2 linked regions of the Diceros bicornis minor genome follow. The protein of the gene in region 1 purifies or fractionates together with the protein of each later gene. This does not show direct contact. Links are inferred from orthologs where the notes say so. Each region holds a gene or a part of one and is shown on either strand. Other genes may lie near its edges. The genes, in order: GNB5 and GNG2.

Region 1 (10,047 bases):
CTGCCCCTTTGCTGTAGGAGTTCAACCCAGTTCATGAGCTCCCCATTCTCTCTCCAGCTCCACGGTGACCTCTGCAGTGTGGACATTCCCTCTCAGAGGTGTCCCCACTGCCCTCTCCTCCACAAATACATCCCTTTCAAATTTGGCTCTGTTGAAATATTCAGACCAGCGCTCCAAAAAAACTCAGAGGGTCATTTCTTTGAACCTTGACAGGGCCCGCTCTTTGGAACGCCTATTAAATTGGTACGGCTACAAAGTCTTCTCCCTCCCACCTAAACCTCCTCGTCCTCCATCTCTAGCAGTCGCACCACAGCCCCTCAGCCTCCCAAACAGAAATCTAGGAGACATAGACATCTCTGTCCCCTCGTTCCCGCATGTCGCCAAGTCCAGCTCCTCCTCCTCCTTCATAAGTGTGGTCCAAATCCATCCCACAGCGTTGCTTTAGTTCAGGCCTTCATTGTGTCTTGCCTGACCTGTGGCCATAGGCTCTTCTCTGCTCTTGCTGCATCTCTGGCCTCATCCCCCTTCCCTCCCCTCCTTCCTGCTGCTGCTGTGGCAGCCACTCACAGGGCAGCATAACATCTATGGAGCATTCAGTATATTCCGGCCTTGACCTAAGTGCTCTACGCACTCTCTCTCATAATTCGCCTGACAACCCTATGATGGTAGGTTTTAAGATCCTCATTTGATAGATTAGCAAACAAAGATTCAAAGAGGTCGAGTAACCTGCCTAAGCAGCGCGACCCGGACCCAGTCAGCCAGAGCCAGTACCCTTCTCCACTAGATGGTTTTGCTTCCTCAAGTTTGCGCTCCCTTCTGTGGCCTGGGCCTGTCTGTTGACTTCTGGGTGGACAGGCAGGGACTCTGGGTGTATGGCTGTTAAATGTTTAATAAACGGGATGCGTTCCTTGCAGGGAACCAACACCGCATTTACCTGGCCTCGTGGCATTGGTCGGGGTCAGGCTCCACTATTTTCTGGCTCTTGTTTTTACTCCAAAATTCACCCTGAGAGGAGGAATTTTTTTTTTTAAGTTTTAAATTATAGTATCCATTACAATGACACTGTCCACTGTGAAGCCCCACGGGATTAATATTGTGCTGCAAAGATCAATTGTGACCGAGTCTGCAAGCTGCCAAAAACCGGTTAAACATGAGTTCAGAAAACCTACTGTCTGACTCTTTCTTACTGATTAAATAAGTGAGTTGGGGTTGACCTAGCATGTTATAATAAATCACAGGTTACAAATTAACCATATATTCTTTATCCCACATGTAGGAGTTGGAGTAACTACGTGATAAAGGAAGATGAGGTTTTACAAAGCTGTTTCTGTTGGCTTTTCTCTCTCACACATACCTTTTTTTTCTCTCTCCCTTTCTCTTGCAGCTTCATCTTGGGTAAAAGATGTGTGATCAGACCTTTCTAGTTAATGTATTTGGCTCCTGTGACAAATGTTTCAAACAAAGGGCTCTGAGATCGGTTTTCAAGAAATCTCAGCAGTTCAGCTACTGTTCAATATGTGCAGAAATTGTAAGTGCCACTTTTTAAAAATTTAAGTAGTTACCTGTCTTACAACGATATCTAAGGTGAGGGTCCTGTGACAGACGAGTTGCCGTAGAATCAGTTTACACACAAACATTTTCAGCACACCTGGGCTAGGTGGGCCAGCAGACCATGCGGGTTTAGGGTGTGGACTCTGGTCTCTGATCGCCTAAGTTCAAATCCTAGTTATGTTGTTAGGTGATGGTATGCCAACAGATCTTGCCTCTCTCAAGAGATCTGTATTCCCATCTGTAAAAGAGGAAAAACAGCATCTATCTCACAGGGTTTTGTGAGGATCAAATGAGTTCATTTGATAAAGTGTTTAAAACAGTATGGTGCACAGGAAGTGCTCAATGAATGTTTTAGCTATTATTATTTTTTAGCGCTAATGCTTTTTTCTTCTGTCTTCTACTAGTCTGCTTGGCAAGCAACCAAGCTAAAAGGGACTCTGAGAAATAAATAGCCTGGGAGCACCTTTCCAGTGGTCCTGTGCCAGCTGTCCCTAGGAACAGCTCTATTCAAGATCCAACCAGACAGGGCCTCAGTAGCGAGCAAAATTAAGCTCAGGGAAAAGTGCTCCTTGGGCCTAAGCCTTCAGCGAGGGCTAGGGACAGGACACAAATTCTGGCATTTGTCAAAGTACACAAATCAGTCCTCAACAGGCTATGCACAGTCTTCAGATCTAGCAGCAAAAAGGGCCACAGCATGGCTGAAGCCCTAGGAATTATTAGTCCTATCTCAGAGGATGTGCAAAGCAGTGCTCAGTAGCGCAGCTGAGTGGAGCCTCCACCTGGTCAAAAGCAGTAAAGCACTCTTCCCCAATAGCCCAATAGGAAATCCCCAATTATCAACACATTAAAAAAATACATATCAAAGGGAGGAAAGATGACATTTACATTTTATTCAACTGAAGAGGAAAGGCAATATTCATCCTCCTGGTCCCATTGTAACCCCTGACAGTGATTACATTTTAAAACGTTATTCCCATAAAACAAATGGCAGGTAGACAGGACAGGGTGACACACAGGCTAGTAATCACAGAGGTACAGAATAGTAATCCTGAGGTCTCAGGATTCAGGCTCAGGGAACGGGCTTCTACCTGCAGCACATTATGTTCTAAACTTGGTTCTGCAAATTCTCAAACTGAGGACATTCAGTTCTTAAAATAAATCTGCTTTTTGGTGGCCCTACCATCCTGGAGCAGTGCTAGTTATTAATCTAGCTCTTCTGTTTTTTAAACAACTTCCTGTGTGGACAGCAGGAGCCCAGAATGCCAGACATGGGGTCCTCTGAGGCATCATAGATTCTCAGCAGGTCAGAGGCCCTGCCTGGAGATACTCTTCAGGGGACTGTTGCCGGCTATCTCCACCACAGCACTTCCCAAATATTCAGACAGACGTCTTTGGCTGAGGAGACATCCAAATGACGGACAGCTGACCTTTTATCCAGGTGCTTGGGATTGTGTAGACACAGCCCCCAGGGGACCCTTTTCGTGAGTAGGGGCAACCCTGTACCTCCACCACCCCTGAAATCACCTTTTCTGATCTCCAGCTTCCTCACTTATGAAAAGTAGTGAACGCCAAAGTACAGGAAGGCACTTTGCAAACTTTTCCAGCCATTAAAAAGTTACATGGCCTCATCTCTAGATGGTAGACTCTCCAGATGGGAGGGTGTTTGGGGTTTATTTTACACAGAGAACCTCCAGAGGAGGGCACACAGCAGTGTGACACTCCACTCACCCCAGGTCTTCAGAGACAGGTAGACCCCGAGGCAGGCATACACACCCCATGATGGTCCAAGACGTGTCAGCCTGAGGAGAGGGGGAGAGGATGCTGCTTTGCCTGGGCCTTCTGAGATGACCCTGTGAGAAGCGTTCCCCGTGACCTAGTGTCTCATTTCAATGACTTCATGTGAATTGCTCAAGTGTATCAGGTAGCCTTAATAATAATAGCGAGCACATACTGTGTGCCATGCATTGCTCTGAATGCGCTACGTAGTCACTCTTGACAAGGACCCTGTGAGGAAGGTGTTATCTCCATTTACAGATGAGGAGCCTGAGACACAGAGAAGTTAAGTAAATCACTCAAGCCCACACAGCACAGCCAGGATTTGCCCCCAGGCAGTCTGATCTAGATAGAGCCGATGCTCTTAACCTTTTGCTCTACCAACTCTGAAACAGATCTAATGTTTTTGCTTTTGTAAATGGTTGAATGTATCTAGAACATTTATATATTTTGTATCTCATTTTATATGTTTTATTTTTAATTATATATTTCATATATATTTACATATTTTGTTTTATACATCCATTGAATAAACTAACATTAACTGAGCACCTGCTATATACCAGTCATTAGGCTAAACACTGAGGATAAATGATGAATAAACCTTATTGATGGGTGGGGAGAAGGGAACTGGCAGTTAATAAGCATCTGCTGCGATGGAGCAGTTGGCTAAGAGGTTCACGCATATCATCTGATTTAATTCTCATAACAGCCCTGTGAGGTAGACGCCATGAAGTAGATTTTCTAGATGGGGAAACTGAGGAGCTCAGAATCTAACCTCCCAGACAACTATGTGTAGACTAATATAGATTACTTCCAACTTTTCTTAGATAGAGAGGGCCTACGACATGTCAAGGCTGGATTCCTCAAGAAGAAGGGGTACAAAGAGGGTGGGGATAGCACCCAAGAGTCTGCGTGGAGACGTTCACTTAAGCATTTGTAACCTCGATCTGCCTTCCCATTCTGTAGAGAAACACACGCGTGCCAGGTCATGGAGCTGGGAGGAGGGAGAAGCCATGGGTTGGGTCCTCCACGACGAAGTCCGGAGGCATGGAGCCGAATGGAGCCAGAAAGCCTGGGTCCAAATCCTCCCTTTGCCTCTTTCTGGGAGTGTGAACGGATTAAATCATTTAATCTTTCTGTGCCTCAGTTTCCTCATCTGTAAAATGGAGATGATAACAGTACCCATTGAGGGTGACAGTTGTGAGGATTAAAGGAGTTAATGTAAAGCACTGGGAACAGTGCCTGGCCCCGCAGGGGACTGGAAGAGGGGATGCTTGAGTCTGCCGTCAGTCACCACATTTGTGTCCTTGAGAGAACTGCAGCCGCCCTTCATTCTAAGGTGGGGGACGCTGCCTCACCAGTGACACGTCCGAGATCTCTGGACGTGGGCTTGGAAGCCCCGGGTCTGGTCCCCTGTGCACCCCTCACCCAGCCAGGGACTTAATTCCCGAGTGAAGAAAAGAAAAGCAAAAACCAAGAGCAGGCCTCCTAATGCCACAAAGACCCCAGAGCTTCTCGGAAGCCGGAACTAGTTTTATTTTTGTATATTTAAGTCAACCAAGGAGGAAAGTTTCCGGTTCGATGTCGGGGGAGCACCCGGGATCGGGCCGGGTGTCGTTGCCCTCTCCTCTCTCGTCCACTCTCTGCAGGTAGAAGCCACTGGCAGGGAATCAAGTCCCCGGCGGCGGGGGCGGGGGGGACTGTGTCACTGGGACTTCACCAGACTCCCAGGGGCCAGGCAGCCCTGGGTTGGAATCCCAGTTTGGCCCTTCACTACGTTAGCATCTTCCTGGCAAATCACGGATCATCTCTGAGCCTCGGTTTTCCCAGCGGTGAAATGGGCACGACGCTCCGTGCTTCTCCGGGGTGGTGTGCGCAGCGGCGCTAAGGCGGGCAGGGCCCGGGGTACTGCGCCAGGGCGCGCGCAGGAGGTGCCGGGGCGGGGGGCGCGGGGCGCGCGGGCGAGGCCGGCGCAGAGGGGGGGGATCGGCCGCCGCAGCCGGCTCGCGGCGGCCGCGTCAGCGCCGGAGGGCGGGGCGCGCTCGAGAGACGGCGGCTGGAGCTGCGCCCGCTCCCCGGCCGCGCCTCCGTCGCCCGCTCACCGCAGCCCGGCTCTCCGCTTCCCTCCCCGCCGCGTCCCCCGCGAAGATGGCAACCGACGGGCTGCACGAGAACGAGACGCTGGCGTCGCTGAAGAGCGAGGCCGAGAGCCTCAAGGGCAAACTGGAGGAGGAGCGGGCCAAGCTGCACGACGTGGAGCGTGAGTGCGGGCGGGGCGGGGGCTGCGCGCCGGGAGGCGGGCCGAGGAAACGAGACAGGCGCCCGGCTCCCGGAGGAGGGGGCGGCCCGGGCCCGGGGCGGGGGCCAGGCCTGCGCCGTTCCGGGGATGCGGGCCCCGGTGTCCGGCACCAGGTGAGGCGCGGGCAGCGGCCTGGGGGGTGTGGGGCCCGAGCTGGGCGGCCCTCGGAGGCTCCAGGCACCTTGCAGAGCCCCCGCCCGCCTCTGGGCGGGGGAGCCCGGTGGTGTCAGCCCCTGGCCTCTATCCTCCCGACGAAGGATCGTGGGACCGGTTACTGTCACCACTTTCCTGGAAGATGCAAACTGATCCCATCCCTGCCCTTCCCAGGCGGGGCGGGGTGGAGGGGGTGGCAGTGGTGGCCAGCGCAGCGAGCCCGTGTGCGCGAGGCCTAGGGTAGACTCCTGTTTTGTTTTTTAATCATTTGGCTTTCTCCGTCACTGCCGTGTCTTTTCTCACTTTTGCTTTTACAAGGAATCAGACTCTTTTTTTAAAAGCTAATTTTTCCAGTCTCCCCCTCTCCTGGTGGCTGCAGAACCGGATGGGGGAAGGGAAGCCGAGGAGCTTACCAAATTAACCATTTAGTTCATTGAAGGCTGTTTAAGAAGCTTTTTTGGATGGATGCAGTGTGATTGGCATAAAAGAGCAATAGCAATCTTGAATAAATTTACGTTGTTGACCACTACCATAGTTCAGAACCGGTCTGTGATTTTTAAGAGTGAACAGTTAAAAAGCCAGATTAAATAGCTCTTGGCGGGATCAGCTTCCCTTTGACCTGTCAGACGGTTCGTCCTCAGCAGAGCTTCGGTCCGGGCCAGGCTTGGGGAAGTGGCCTTGTCTGCTTACTTTTCAGCTCTGAGGCTCGCGGCTCCCCTTTCCGAGCACAGCCTCCCCGTAGTGCCCTCAGGTACACCTGTACATTGTGCTCCTGCCACTCCTACTTGGTACCACCCCCTTTAAATTGTGTTTGAAAGAGAAAAATGGGGTTCATGCTAGGTCCCTTACCACCTGGTTCCTTTCTTTGAAAATCACTTGAAAGAAGCAGATGACCTAATCTAGAGTATGCTGTGCTTTTATAGGGGCCTCCTCTAAATAGGAGGCACACTAAGCTCCTATGTCATTTAGAAATGTGTCCAGCTACAATTAACTATAAATCCCAAATAAAGGAGTTAAGCAGATTGAGAGTTATTTTTCTTACATAACAAGAACAAGGGTAGGCGATTGCCAGCGCTGGTTCAGCTGTCCAATGTGCCGTCAGGGACCCACACTCTTGTCTTTCTTCTCCACCACCCTGAGAGCGGTGGCATTTGCCCCATAATTATAATATGACTGCCACAGCTCAAGACATCACCTCTGTATCCAGGGCAGGAAGAAGGCGGAATGTGGACACCAACCTCTATTTCTCCTTCTTGTCAGGAAAGCAAAAGTTTTCCCCAGAATGTCCCTTACAGACTTCTGTTTGCACTTCATTAGCCAGAACTGGGCCACATGGCTACTGCAATGGAGACTGGGAAAGCGAGAACGGAGCTGGGCACATTGCCATCCCCAAACAGAGCTGGATTTCAGGGAGGAAGTAGGTAATGGATATTGGGAGGCATGGGACAGGGTCCGCCCCATTTCCCTTTACAAATTCCTACTCTCTGCAGCTGATAACGACAATGCTGTAAGCGTGGCATTAGTGCCTCTGAGGTAGGCCGTCTGATTTCTCCATTTTACAGATGAGGAAACTGAGGTACAGAGAGGTGAAACGACTTGCCGGAGGACCCCAGCTAGTAAGTGGTGGGACCAGGATTCCAGCCCAGCCTCAAGTCAGCTTTTCTGCAGAGCCCATTGTACTCTATGCAGAGGGCCTTCTCCAGAAACTCACGTACTCAGCAGTGGCAGGCTGCCCACTCAGATGTCTTTCAGCCTTTTCTGTGAATTGGTAAATTGCCTTAAGGCAGAGAGGTTGTCAAGATGCAGCTTTTCAACAGGGAACCCCTCTCCTGCCAAGGATGCAGTGCCCTCAGAGGCCAGGGCCAAATTTTGGACCCACAGTGGAAGGATCTATCCCCACCTGCATAAGTCAGAACTTTTGAATTGAAAAGACCTGGGGCCGGCCTGATGGCATAGTGGTCAAGTTCGCGCTCTCTGCTTCTGTGGCCCGGGGTTCACTGGTTCGGATCCTGGGCACGGACCTATGCACCACTCATCAAGCCATGGTGGCAGGTGTCCCATATATAAAGAGTAGAGGAAGATGGGCACGGATGTTAGCCCAGGACCAATCTTCCTCAGCAAAAAGAGGAGGATTGGCAACAGATGTTAGCTCAGGGCTAATCTTCCTCACCAGAAAAAAAAAAAAAAAAGACCGGAAGTCATGTGGTCATGTTCCCCTTTATTCCCCCTGCAGCTTCTGGACCACTTCTCCTCCATCCCCTCTTATCCTCCCCTCATGTAAAACCCTTGCTCCTTTGAAGTTCCCATTATTCAGCTGACCTACCTCTTCCCCCCTGTGTGCTGCTGTCTCCTGACCTCCCAGCCAGGCTCCCTCACTTCTTAAGGACTTTGGCACATGGCTTGAGCCTTCCTTTTGACCCTAAGCCCTGCCCCATCCCCGGTGTCTTCAGGGTCCACAAAGGTGACCCTCCTAACACGCTGGCCCCTCACTCCATCACAGCCCCCTGGGATCTTCTTAGCACTCAGAACTGCCCCTCCTCTGACTGCACTCTCTCCCACGGAGATGTCCATGATCCAGGATCACTGGGCTCTTCTCTCTTCCAGTCTCTCAGCCTCTCCCCGAGACTGCACATTTATGCATTTCGGTGTTGTCGTATAGACAGCCCTGTAGCCCCTCCCCTATTCGAGGAAACTTCTATAGGCCATAAGCTAAGGTGACTACATCATCTCGGTTTGCCCGGGACTCTGGGTTTTAAAATGGAAAGTCCTACATTCTGGGAAACCCTCAGTCCTGGGCAAACTGGAACAGTTGGTCAGCCTTCTGTTAGCTCTGACTTGCCCAAAGTCTTGCCTTTAGAAAGTCAACACAACAAAATTGTAGAGCATACACTTGGAGGAAAAGTGAGATTTTCCCAAGTCCAGACCCCCACTTCTTCAGCTCCCATCCCTTTGACCCTCAGACCAGCGTCTATTCTGTGGGGCCCTCATCCTGAAGTCAGACCCTTGGCTGACATTCAATACAGGAGTGGCTTAGACGGGTGGTCTACAGGGAAGCCAGCCTACGTCCCACTCCACAGCCCAGCCCCGCGCCCTGCCCCTGCCTTCCCCCTACTCCTCCAGCGCTTCCTGCTTCTCCCTGGAAACTTCCCCTGTCGCCTTCTGCTTACCTTCCACCAGGGGGAAGTGCTCCCCTGCGTGATTCTAAGGCATTTTAGAATCACTAGGTTGCAGCTTGTGTTAGTTTCCTGTTGCTGTTGTATGACTTCCCACAAGCATAGTGGCTTAAAGCAACATAAATTTATTCTCTTACAGTCCTGGAGGTCAGAGGTCTAAAATGGGTCAGCAGGGCTGCATTCCTTCTGGAGGCTTTGAGGGAGAGTTCATTCCTTGCCTTTTCCAGCTTCTGGAGGCTGCATTCCTTGGCTTATGGCCCCACATCACTCCAACCTCATTTCCATCATCACCTTTCCTTCTTTGACTCTGATCCCCCTGCCTCCCTGCTCTAAGGACCCTTGTAATTACATTGGGCCCGTCTGAAAAATCCAGGATAATCTTTCCATCTCCAGATCCTTAACTTAATCACGTCTGCAAAGTCCCTTTGCTTTGTAAGGTAGCATATTTGCGGGTTCCGGAGATTGAGATGTGGACATCTTTGGAGGGCCTATCACACAGGTCTTAAACCTGGAAAGGGCCACCTGCCTCAGCCTCAGTCTTCAGGCACAAAAAGTTTTCTTCTCTTCCCAACAACTCAACCCCTTTTCCTGTGGGATGAGGAAGCAGCTGAGATCCAAGGAAGGGTTTGGAGATTTCCCTAAGGTTATGCAGCCGCTGTAAAGGAGAATGGGGAGTAGACTCCAGGCTCCTAGTACAGCTCTCCCTCTGACCATGCCAGGCCACATCTCAGCAAGTTAAGATTTACATTTAAAAGGAAGAAAAGTAAATCTGTGTGTGTGTATACGAAAAGGTGTCAATATTAAGTAAAAAAAAAAAAAGAGAAAAAAGAAAAGTGCCAAACAGTGTATATAAAATGATCTTATTAGCTTAAACAAGAGATGCTTACATATGCATTAAATTTCTGGAAGGATACACAAGAAACTTGTCATCTCTAACAAGGGGTCCAGAGGGGTAGGGGGAAGCAGAGGTACTTTATATGCATCTGGGCATTTACTGCTTTTATAATAAAAAGGAAAAAATGGTCTGGGAGCAGCCAGAGCAGGAGGGCACCGTGTTCATTTCAGCCAGCATACACGGCAGCCTCGTGGGGCTTT
Region 2 (11,011 bases), about 48 Mb from region 1:
CTTTACCATCCGTCCTGGAGGCGTTGACACAGGCTGGGTTCTTCCCCAGGTCATTTTCAGCTCTACCATCCCACAATGTCACAGGCCAGCAACTCAGTCTTAACACAGCTCTGTGACCCCCTCTCCCACCTGGATCTAGTAAAGCCATCATGGGTCCTCCCAGGAATTGTAGAATGAATAGATTTACAAATCAAACAAAGTGGGGGGTCGTTATCCAACTCCCCAACACACACAGAGTGCATTACACAAATCATCATGCAATCACCTAGGAGCTCCACTCAGGCCAACGTTTGCACCAGAACACAAATCTCAGATGTTGTCGCTGCTCAATAGAGTCCCCGCAATCATCCTGCCCAGCTCTCCTCAGCCCATCCACACTTTGCCTCACTGGTTGCAAAATCTGGAGTGAAATCGGTAGTGGAAAATGAAACAGAAGGATTCTTTTTTTCACAGTGAAGTTTAGATTAGACTCACATTTTGTTAACAGAAACTTCTCTCAGAAATCTGCGTGGTTGAACTCCACAGGCCAACCCTCTCATTATAAAGAATTTGAGAACAATTTAGTGCTTTAGTTTCTCCTCCCTTTTTCTGACCCTGCTACCCAGTGGGCATTTTTTCTCATCCAGCTAATGAGCGGAGACGAGAAAGACACAGCCCCCCAGTGCATCCTTTGTAGCAGCCCAGTCCACACTGGACCAGCAGGGTCACTGGCGTGACTGTCCACAACAAGGGTTTGAATTTCACTATCAGGTTCACAATATCACCAATTATCAGGAGCTATGCAGATTTTCTTATTTTCTCCTTTTGATTTTAAAAGTTGCTTTTGAGACAAGTCTTTTACTTGGGCGGGGAGAATACTGGTGTCCACAGGAGATTAAACACAAACATTGTCATCTTGATCTTTATCACGCACTATGTTAAGAGATCCCACTATTTAAAAAAGTCTCCTCGAAAACAACCCAATTAAAAAACGGGCAAAGGGCTTGAATAGACATCTCTCTAAAGAAGACATACAAAAGGCCTATAGGCTCATGAAAAGACCCTCAACATCACCAATCCTTAGGGAAATGCAAATGAAAACCACACAGAAATACCAATTCACACCCATTAGGATGGCTGTTGTCACAAATAACCAACCAACCCCAGGAAATAACAAGTGTTGGTGACAATGAGGAGAAATTGGAACCCTTGTGCACTGCTGGTGGGAATGTAAAATGGTGCAGCTGCTATGGAAAACAGTATGGCAGTTCCTCAAAAAATTAAGCATAGAATTACCATACGATCCAGCAATTCCACTTCTGGGTACCCAAAAAGAAGTGAAAGCAGGGACTCCAACAGATATTTGTACACCCATGTTCACAGCAGCATTATTCACAGTAACTGAAATGTGGAAGCAACCCAAGTGTCCATCGATAGAAGAATGAATAAACAAAATGTGGTCTATACAAACAATGGAATATTAGCCAGCTAAAAAAGGAAGGAAATTCTGACACATGCTACAACATGGATGAATCTTGAAGACATTATACTAAGTGAATTGTTGATCACAAAAAGACAATACTGCATGATTCCACCTATATGAGGTCCTTAGAGTAGTCAAAATCAGAGACAGAAGGTAGAATGCTGGGTTCCAGGGACTAGGAGGAGGAGGGAATGGGGAATTAGTGTTTAATGGGAACAGAGTTTTAGTTCAAGAAGATGAAAAAGATCTGGAGATGGATGGTGGTGATGGTTGCACAACAACGTGAATATACTTAATGCCACAGAATGGCGCACTTAAAAATGGTTAAAATGGGAAATTTTGTGTTACATGTATTTTACTACAATAAAAAAAAACTGTCTCCTGGAACCTTTGAGGTGGTGGCCAAGGTCAAGAAAACGCTCACTTTTCCTTATGCTACCCAGGAAGGAGAAGGCATCTGAGAACCTGCTGTGTACCAGGCGCTCACATACCCACACGCAAGAGCAAAACCAAAATAAACACGACAAAACCAAAAAACAACCAAACAAAAATCCCCACAAACCTTGACTGTGTGCTGTTAACCCCTCTTCCCAATGAAGAAACTGACCCTCCTAAGTTAACGTACCAGGGCGAGGGGTCAGAACCAGAGGTCGGGTTCAAGGCAGACCTGCCGGAGGCTCGCAACGCTGGAGGCCTGCGTTCTTCTCACCCCATGGTGTTCTTTTCTTCCACACACAGCCATCCTTTGGAACAGGTTTTCTGCTTTGACTACAGAGCCTTTACACTTCAAAGCTGGGCCCGCCTTCTGAAGTAGGCTGAAAGACCAGTCAACCAAACACACTCACTGCGTGCTCGCTGTCTGAGGCCGGGGCTGGCCACCAAACAATGGACTCATGTTTCCACCCAGACACTGGCCATATGGCCGAAAAACACATACAATTAAAATTTCAGTGTTGTTGCACTCCCTCAAAAGCCACTGAACACCCTGGGCAAAAGCATTATGTCTGTCAGTGTTCCATATGGCCAGAATAAGTGGAAATGGTCTCATTTTACAGCATAGAAGCATATTCCTCTTCTTCCCAAACCTTCCACCATCATAGTTACTGATCTGCTGTCACTCGCTAATGTGCTTCAAGCTGGTATTTAACAATTAAGGAAATGTTTTGGGCTGCGCAGAAGATAGGCACCTCTTAGGTGATTTCTGAAAGAGGGCTGGGGCCCCGACTCTCCTGGGCCCGGGTTTCGTTTTCTTACTCTGGTATGAAACACTCGGAGGAAGGCAGATTGTCTACACACTCCCAGACAAAGCAGGGTGTTGGCGTTATCTCGTGAACGCAGCCTCAGATGAGCAGCTCCGAGGTGAGCCCCGGCCTCATTCTTATAGCCCGGATTTACGACTTTCCTCCTCAGTCTGTGACAGGCAGCTTGATCATAGCACTCCAGTCAGGGGCGTCCTGGACCCGAGATCCACCCTAGACCTCCTGTCCGGGAGTATTATCTTTCGTATTTCCCTTTAGGAGGCAAATGGAAAGCGGAACTGAGCTGTGTGTGGAGGACTGGTTTTGCCCACAGGTCTGATTAAACTGAGCGTGTGTGTTGGGGGAGCTCTGTGGTTTCCACACCAGCGATATTTTGCCTCTTAGACATGGTACAGGTTTAATTTAGTACGTGATCTCAGAAAAGCAGACTTTTTTTCTTTAGTACCTAAAGATTCTTACCTCTGAAAATGTGCTGCTACAGCACAAATTTGGAGAAGCCAAAATCAATTTCATAAAAATGACGTTAAAAAAACCCCTATAGCTCTTCACAATTGAGAATGTAATCAATGAGGAGGCATATACACTCTCAATGGCATATTTAACGTTTAAAAACCTGTATTTTAAGAATTTATGAATGTCTAAATATGACCTTTTTATTATTTTTACTCCACTATAAGCAGTTTTTTCTTTCTTTCTTTTGAAAATTTATCTCCTTTCATTCTAAAAACTCAAGAAAAAACCTTCGATCAATGACCATTTATTGCTTAGCCACACTTTCCGTCAGAGACAAAGCCTCATTTTTAAAATCACGCTATGCTAGAGTATTAAACTCTTTCTCCCACACACCCTGCCAAAGGAAGCTCAATCTCATTTCTAATCCGTTAGACCTATTTATTGCTCTTCTACATGTCGTTCATAAATATGAACAAGTCACGGTCACAAACTCTCATTAAGAGGACTCATTGCTCACGAAAATGAAAGAATAAAAATCACGTTCTGATCTGACTATTCCTGTCTGTCTACAGTGCATCCAGGTGAGGAAAAGACTCAGCCGCTCCTGCGTTTTTCCCGCACTGAGTTAGCATGCATCTTGACCTAAAGATGAATAAAATCCATATCAACACAAAAGCCACACACACCGATGTCTCGCTCTAGACAAGTTAAACCCGCCACACTCCTCTGAGAAAGGATGCAACTTTCGGAAAAGACCTACTGGAAACGGTAGCTGTTTCCGAGGTGATCAGAGAGCGGCTGCAGAGCCGAGGGAGGACACCGTTTCTTAATGGTAAATACTGCCCCTCACATAGCAATTCCAGCCTTTGTTGGCAAATTCTGAGCACAAAAGGATTTGAAAACAGCAACAAAAAAGCCAAGTCACAGTCATTTTGCTGCAAAACAGAAGCCGCCCCAGGGCACTATGTCAGAAAGATAATGCAATGAGCAGTTGACACCCTGAAAGGCGCAGATGATCGCCCCACAGCCCCACAGCCCCGACCCGCTTCCCCTCGGCCCGCTTCTCCGCCCAGAGAACGAGGCGAGCAGCTGCTTACACGCCGTGCGCTTCCCTGACGAGTCACCAGAGCCGAGTGCTCATGACGGTTTTCTTAAAGCAGCTGTGTCACAAACGCAGCCGTCCTAGCAAGCCCTCCTGGAAGAAGCCATCCCCATCATGCCCCCGATCCTGAAGCGGCGCCCCCGTCTCCCCTCGGAAATCCGCCCCGAAACCCACAGGCGACGGCCAGGTTGGGCGCTTCCCGAGGAGCCGCACGAGAGCGCGTCCCTTACCTCAGCCGGCGCCGGTCCGGGGAGGCGGCTGCGCGCCGATCTGCGCCGCCGCTCGCGCAGCCGCCCCGCCCGCCCGCGCGCGCGCCCGGCCCGCCCAGCGCAGGGGGCGCTGCCCGCCGGCGCGTGCGGCGGCGCCGGTCCCCGCCCGGCTTTGTCCTCGGCGAGCTTCTCCCCGCAGGAAGCTGCGCGTCTCCCACTTCCTCCTTCTCGGCCGCTCTGAGCCGCCTTCTTCGCGCCGTCTCACGCCGCCTCGGGGCTGCTCGGCGGCCCCGGCTTCGCCCCCCCGGGCGCCTGACGCGAGGCGCCGAGGGTCGCCATCCCTTTGTTCGCTCTGGGCCGCCGCTCTTCCTCCCCTTCCCCCTCACCCTCTCCTCCACAGCAGCGTCCAGCAGCCGCCCCCTCGCCCCGCGCCCGCACGCAGTCTGCTCTCTCAGCCTGCACTTGGCTGCTTCTTGCTGCTGCCTCTGCTGTCTTTTTTGGGTCAACAGCCCCTGGCCAGTTGTGGCCCTGAAATCCGGCGCCAGCCTCCATGACTCCTCCTGATTTCCTAGGGTCCCTATCAGGACGGCTGGCTGGGAGCTGGCCGCCTGCAGCTTCTAGCTGCAGCCTTTTTCTGTGGCCAACATTCCAGACACTTAATTTCTCCAAGGTCCCACTGCCACTGAGATCTGCGTTAACCCACATGCTCAGAAAAGAGTGGCCCCGATAAGTATTCTTGTGGGGACAGGAACTACACCAAGTCTTGCTCTGCTACCTGTGGCCTCATATGAAGACATATTCCCAGAAGATTCTCCGTGGTGGGAAGGAACAAGATGGGGCTGAATGCCACGAGTCCCAGCCCAGAAATAACCCCTTCCCCGCACCGTAGGGCTGAAAGGACCCTCAGGATCCTTGCTTTAGTAGTGTCATGGATGAGGGCAAAGCCTGCAGGCAGTCTGTTCACCCGATTTGAATCCAAACTGTATGAACTTGGGCAAATTATTTAACTTTTACATGCCTCAATTTCCTCATCTGCAAAATGGAGATGAGTATAGTCAGACCCTCAGCAGAAATCTGAGGATTAAATGAGATGGCACACAAAATGATAACATAGGAAGTGTTCGTGTGTATTAGCTCGTTATTTTTAGAGGATGTGGAAGCTCAGAGATGGCCGGTGACGTCGGCATCAGCAGCCAAAGCAGGATCAGTATTTGGTTCCCGACCCCCCTTAGTTAACGTATCCATGACTAACGCAGATGCTCTTGGTGACGATTCATTCAGCTTGTAAGTCATTCTCTCCCGACCAACACAGGTGCTTTGGGGCAGCTACAGATTAAACACAGGCTGGGGGCGGGGGAATCCTTCTTCTGTGTCCAGGCAACGCTGCTAAGAAACCTCTCCTCAGGATTCCGTGCCTGGAAAGTTAATCTTAAATCCTCCAGCAAGTAAACCAACAGGAAATGGAAATGCAGGGCTGACGCAGGTTACCTGGACACTCAGGGAAGAAGCCAGCTGAGCCTTCCTAACCCACCTAGGGGACCACAGCACATCAGCCTGGAGGGCACAGAACTTGATTTCTATGAAATGTTCTGACAGCCCCAGGATACTCTTTGTTTTGATTTGATGTTCCATGAACAGAGTTTGCTTATTTCTTCCTGGAAATCTTTTATCAAAAAGGAACATCGGAAAATTTGGATTGTTTTAAGATTAAAAATGAGAAACTAAAACTTCTGAGCCACCAGCAGATAGAATTGTAGCAGCGGAAGAGGATTGGACATAGATTCCCACAGCCTCCTGCAACCCAGTGAAAATCAGACGTGAATTTCCTCTAAATCAGGAATCTTGGTGCCAACGGTTACTAGGAGCTTTTAAACAAAAATTTAGATGTATATGATACTAAGTCTAAGAAAAATGAGAAGCACAGTTATTAATGGTTGGAAGATTATGGAAACAAATCTTTGGTTAATTTTAGACTAGTGGCTTCTGACGTTAACTCTGGATTCAAATAAGTATTTTTTTTTTTTAAGATTTATTTGTCTTAAGGGACTTAAATAAGTCCTCTCTCTCTCTCTCCCCTTCTCACAGTTTCTCCAAACCATCAGAAAGTGGTTGGTACTTATCTTTATGTCTGTATAGGAAAATCTCTTTCAGACAACAAAGTCTCTAGGAATTTGTCCTGCTGCCGTCTGATGGGTTCTTCCCTCTCTGGCCCTTATAAAACTCTCAGTAGGTTAACCTGGCCATTGCTGGGAAGTGCCAACCATCCTCTCCCCAAAGCTGAAAACTAGATTTTAAGATCTTTCTCTTGCTGTCATTAACCTCCTTGCTTTCTGGTCCTAATAGCCTCTTTTTCTGGAGAGAAAAGAAAAATGTGTGGTATAGATTCAGTAAGAGAGAAGATTACTCCAGTTCAGAGCTCTTAACACAAGTGTGGTAAGTACGCCTACCAAGTGTGCATTTCTTAGGAGGTACAGTTGCATCTCACCGTGAGCAGTTCGTGCCGTCAGTAACTGAGTATGAGCCTACCCCAGACACATTTTATCAACACAGAAAACAAAGCCTGTTCATCGGTAGCCTGTTTGTAGGCATTGATACCCTGTAGTTCTTGCATCTACCTGGTTAGGAGGCTGATGGTAACAAGGAGGCCATCGTCTTGGCCTGACAGCTCTCCTGCATTCCTGAGCGTTCTAGCTGAAGTTCCTTGGAGTTCTTTAACACTAACATTCCCCAAATTATGGAGATTACCTCATCCAAAGCTGTTCTCCTTTCTCTCTTCTCCATTCCATTTAATGAGGAATACAAACCAGTTGCCCACAGCAGGAATGTAAGAGTAATATCAGAACCATTTGTCTTTGTTACCCCAGGTCTGGTTTAAATTTCCTCATCCCTCCATTCCCACCACCAGACTCTCTCTTTGACCACACCACTCCTCCCTATTGCCCTGGCCACTGTCTGATTAATAGATTCCTGGGTTTTCCCTGTATGACTGCAATACTCCCTACTTGGTCCTCCTGCCTCCTAGCTCTCTTCTAAGCCACGCCCACAGAAGTACATTTCTAAGATGAAGAGTTGAGCATGTCACTGCCGTGTGTAATTTTTCAGTATCTCCCCTCCCATTGCTTACAAGGCCTTCCATAATGTCGCCCAACTACACTCTAACTTTAGTATCTAACCTGTGGCAACCCCACGTCCACTCACTCCACACCCGTCTTCGTGGCAGGTTCCCACGGGGCCATGCTCTTTTCTCCTCTGCATCTTGGCACATGCTCTTTTTTTTTGCCAGAAATGTGCTTATTCCTTCCTCCATTTTGTCAGTTGGTGACCCCAACTTATCCTTTCAGACTCTTCTCTCTCAGAAGCCTTCCCTGACCTCGCCAGCTGAGCCTCTGTCTCTTGCTCTGTGAGTGCGTGGCACCCTGCCTCATGTCCACTTGGGCACCAGCTGCATTGTTTCATGAGTTGTTATATGTCCACCTCACTCACCACTCACTATTTGAGCCCCTTCACAAGGTTGGAGATTTGTTCTGTTCATCTTTGCTTGTTAAACAGCAGGTAGCTAACAGATGTTTGTATAATGAAAAGGCTATATGGGCAGAAATTCCAAAACCGCTTTTGTGTTCCTTTGGTTGCCTGGGAAGGAGGAAAAAGGGAAGTTTCTGATATGAGAAGTTGGTCATGGGATAAGAAATAATAATTCCTTTATTTTTTGCAAATTGTCTGCAGAAAACCCTGGTGCACACGTACCACATTCTGAGTGTTTGTCATATAGGTGACCTTAGAGAATCCTGGGGCAAGAGCTGGTTCCGTTTCCACACTGAACTGCTTACAGAGAAGCACGGTCAGGCAACAAAGCAATTTAGAAAATAAAAGGAAATAGAAAAAAGGAAAGAAAGCTATTCTGTACTTGCATTTCTGGATGAACTTTAAAGGGACTAATTTATGAGCCAGAAACACTGTTCATGTTCCCTCCTGCCCTCTCCAGTTCTCGCCACCTTACAGATGCCCCCGAGCCAAATCCTCAAACTCTTCCTATACTCTCTTTGCAGTATTGTCGTGTGTGTGTGCGTGTGTGTGTGCGTGTGTGTGTGTCCCGGCCATGCCCAGCTGGCTCTTTACTACTTGGATGGACTTCTCTTCTCTGGCCAAGTCCTCCCTACATGTCTCAGCTTTGTTCTCGCTCTGTCCTTCCTTACTTTGTATCAGGAGCCATAAACCATACCAGCAACACCTCCTTGAGTGCATGTGTGGACTGTGGTGAACAGGGAAGAGCAAAATGGGGATAAGAAGGTGAATTCATGGATTAATAAGTCTTGCCTGCTCACAGACATTCACGATACATTTAATAACTTGCTTAATTGTTGTGCCAAAGAGTAATCAAGGTTAAAAAAATGAATCATTGAGGTATTCTTTTACCACGGAAAAACCAGATTTCCAGGCATTTCTTGGATCAACTAAAGAGAATAGAAGTCTCTCTAAAGACTTTGTCCAAAAAAGGCATAATCTTGATCTGATCTGTGTGTCACAGGTCGTTCCCTCCCCCAGACACCTGAGCCCACCCCCAGCCGTTAGGAGCCATGAAGGCTGAATCATATTGGGTGTAAAGAGAGTCAGGGCTGGGTGGGCAGAACTAATCTTTCTCGCGAGATGGTGGCTGAACCTCTCAAAACGCCAGTCCCTGTCTCAGAGCCCAACACAAGAGCTGGTAGGACAGGGGTTTGCAGAGTGATGGCCACCTCTCGGTCCATCTGGAAGGCAAAGTGGGAGGGGCTTGATTCTCCTTTCCCTTTGCCCCAGGCAGGGCCAACCAGGGGATTCACAGAATAGTATGAGGCCCCCAGGTTCTTCTCCAATATTGCCTGAAATGTCACCAAAATTGAACTTATTTGGGTTGTTAGCCGAAATGTATGCATGTGTGTATTACATACGTGAAGCCCTGGGGAGGTTGAGTGATGGAGTTCAAGAAACTTGCTTTCCTAACACCTCACGAGAGAACAAGCACAGTGTTGATGGGGGGGTGGGGTTCGGAGGCCAAGGGTAGAGGGAGGCTAAGGGGCTGGAAGAGGGCTCACGGTGGGGCACGAGGTCTCCTGAAGACCACACTGGGCATGGAGATGGGGAGGGAGACAGAGCCAGAGCTGGAAGTAGGTCAGAAAGAACCATGGAGGCCTGCACACGTGAAGCCAAGCAGCTGTGTGCAGGGGTAGTGTGGCCAGTTAAGTGGGAACAAAGGCTGGACACTTCCAGAGTGGACACTGCCTGCCCCGAGTCTGAAGCTTGTGTCATCCCGTGAGCAGAAATCATTCCAAACCTTCCTCCAGCAGGAGCGGGAGCCAGACTGCCGACTAGGGTGATGCGAGAGTGTAAACCGAATGCATTATTACCACAAAAACAGAAACAGCAATTCTGCAAAATACGACTTGTCCCCTCTAAAAAGTCTCTGAAGACCCACACAGAAGATCAGGAAGCGGGCAACGAGATGAGGAAGAGGCCGTCAGCCAGAGCCTGACCGAGGCGAGAACACGGCGCAGAGCGAAGCCTGGGAGAGTCCTCCGAAAGGGCCGTCAGGATTGAAGGATGCGAACTAGTAGATGAACAACACAGAGTAAGGCATTTTGAAGTGTCTGAAAGAAAAGCTATACAATAATAACTCCAATAATTTGCAGGCAAGGTGGAAAGGCAAGACTTGGTTTTTCTGTGCCGAGTGTGAGGACGGACAGGGCAATCTACTCCAACAGTAAATAGGATGGCAAAGGCTGCAGAGGGGAAACAGGGCTCTGGGGTGCTCGTTTCTGTGTCTGTTGACTTCCCTCAGTGAAGAGGATTCGCAGGTTTGCTTCTGACCTGGGTCTCCCAGCTCTGCTTTCTCCCTAAGTTTTAAGGTTTTCCTATAATAGAATTTCTGAAACAGAACCACAGGAGTCGAGGAGGGAGTTGCGCTGTTGAGTGCTGGGTGGGGAATCTGTCTCTCTGCCAGAGTCCACTGGAGTCTCACACTGGACTGAGTGCCCGAGGCGAGGGCCGTGCCTCCCTCTCCGGGTATTCTGCACCGGGCACCGGGCGCTTCGCAGGTTGTGTGTGCTCAGAAGCCGTCTGTTAACTTTAAGTGAATCTGAACAGCTAGGCCTCTTGGAAGAGAGTCGTCAGTCCTGCTGACTGACCCCTTTGAAAATACGGAAACATACGTTTTACAAAATTCTAGGGGAATGACCAAATAAACCCCCAAGGCTGCTTAAAATATTCCCAAAAATGTCCTTGGGAATCAGAAAGTGAGAAGAGGGTGTGGCGAGGAGGGAAGGTGATACTGACGGTTAAAGGCCAAGACCCTGAGGCTACCAGCCGAGTGATAACCTCAAACCAGGAGGAGAAGCCTGTCCTTGACTTAGATGGTAATGAAGACTCGCATGTAGAAAGTTCTTACAAAGTTTTGTCAATTGATTGCTCTTCCTACAGATCTGTAAACTTGGAAGGTGCATTTTTGGTAATGCAAAGCATTCGAGATCACTTCCTCTGAAATGTTACTTTCAGT

Evidence for each region.
Region 2: the proteins of GNB5 (region 1) and GNG2 purify together in Homo sapiens (affinity purification with western blotting; 4 studies listed by BioGRID and IntAct, with this or other methods). This does not show direct contact. The link is inferred for Diceros bicornis minor from reciprocal best matches to the Homo sapiens genes GNB5 and GNG2.

What each region holds. Positions count from the first base shown.
Region 1 is NC_080744.1:48,139,747-48,149,793, reverse strand, and holds the start of GNB5 (guanine nucleotide-binding protein subunit beta-5), read left to right. Parts: upstream 1-5,414; 5' UTR 5,415-5,475; coding exon 5,476-5,587; intron 5,588-10,047. UniProt on the Homo sapiens protein: Enhances GTPase-activating protein (GAP) activity of regulator of G protein signaling (RGS) proteins, such as RGS7 and RGS9, hence involved in the termination of the signaling initiated by the G protein coupled receptors (GPCRs) by accelerating the GTP hydrolysis on the G-alpha subunits, thereby promoting their inactivation.
Region 2 is NC_080744.1:538,883-549,893, forward strand, and holds the start of GNG2 (guanine nucleotide-binding protein G(I)/G(S)/G(O) subunit gamma-2), read right to left. Parts: upstream 4,572-11,011; 5' UTR 4,507-4,571; intron 4,464-4,506; exon of another isoform or gene 4,272-4,463; intron 1-4,271. UniProt on the Homo sapiens protein: Guanine nucleotide-binding proteins (G proteins) are involved as a modulator or transducer in various transmembrane signaling systems.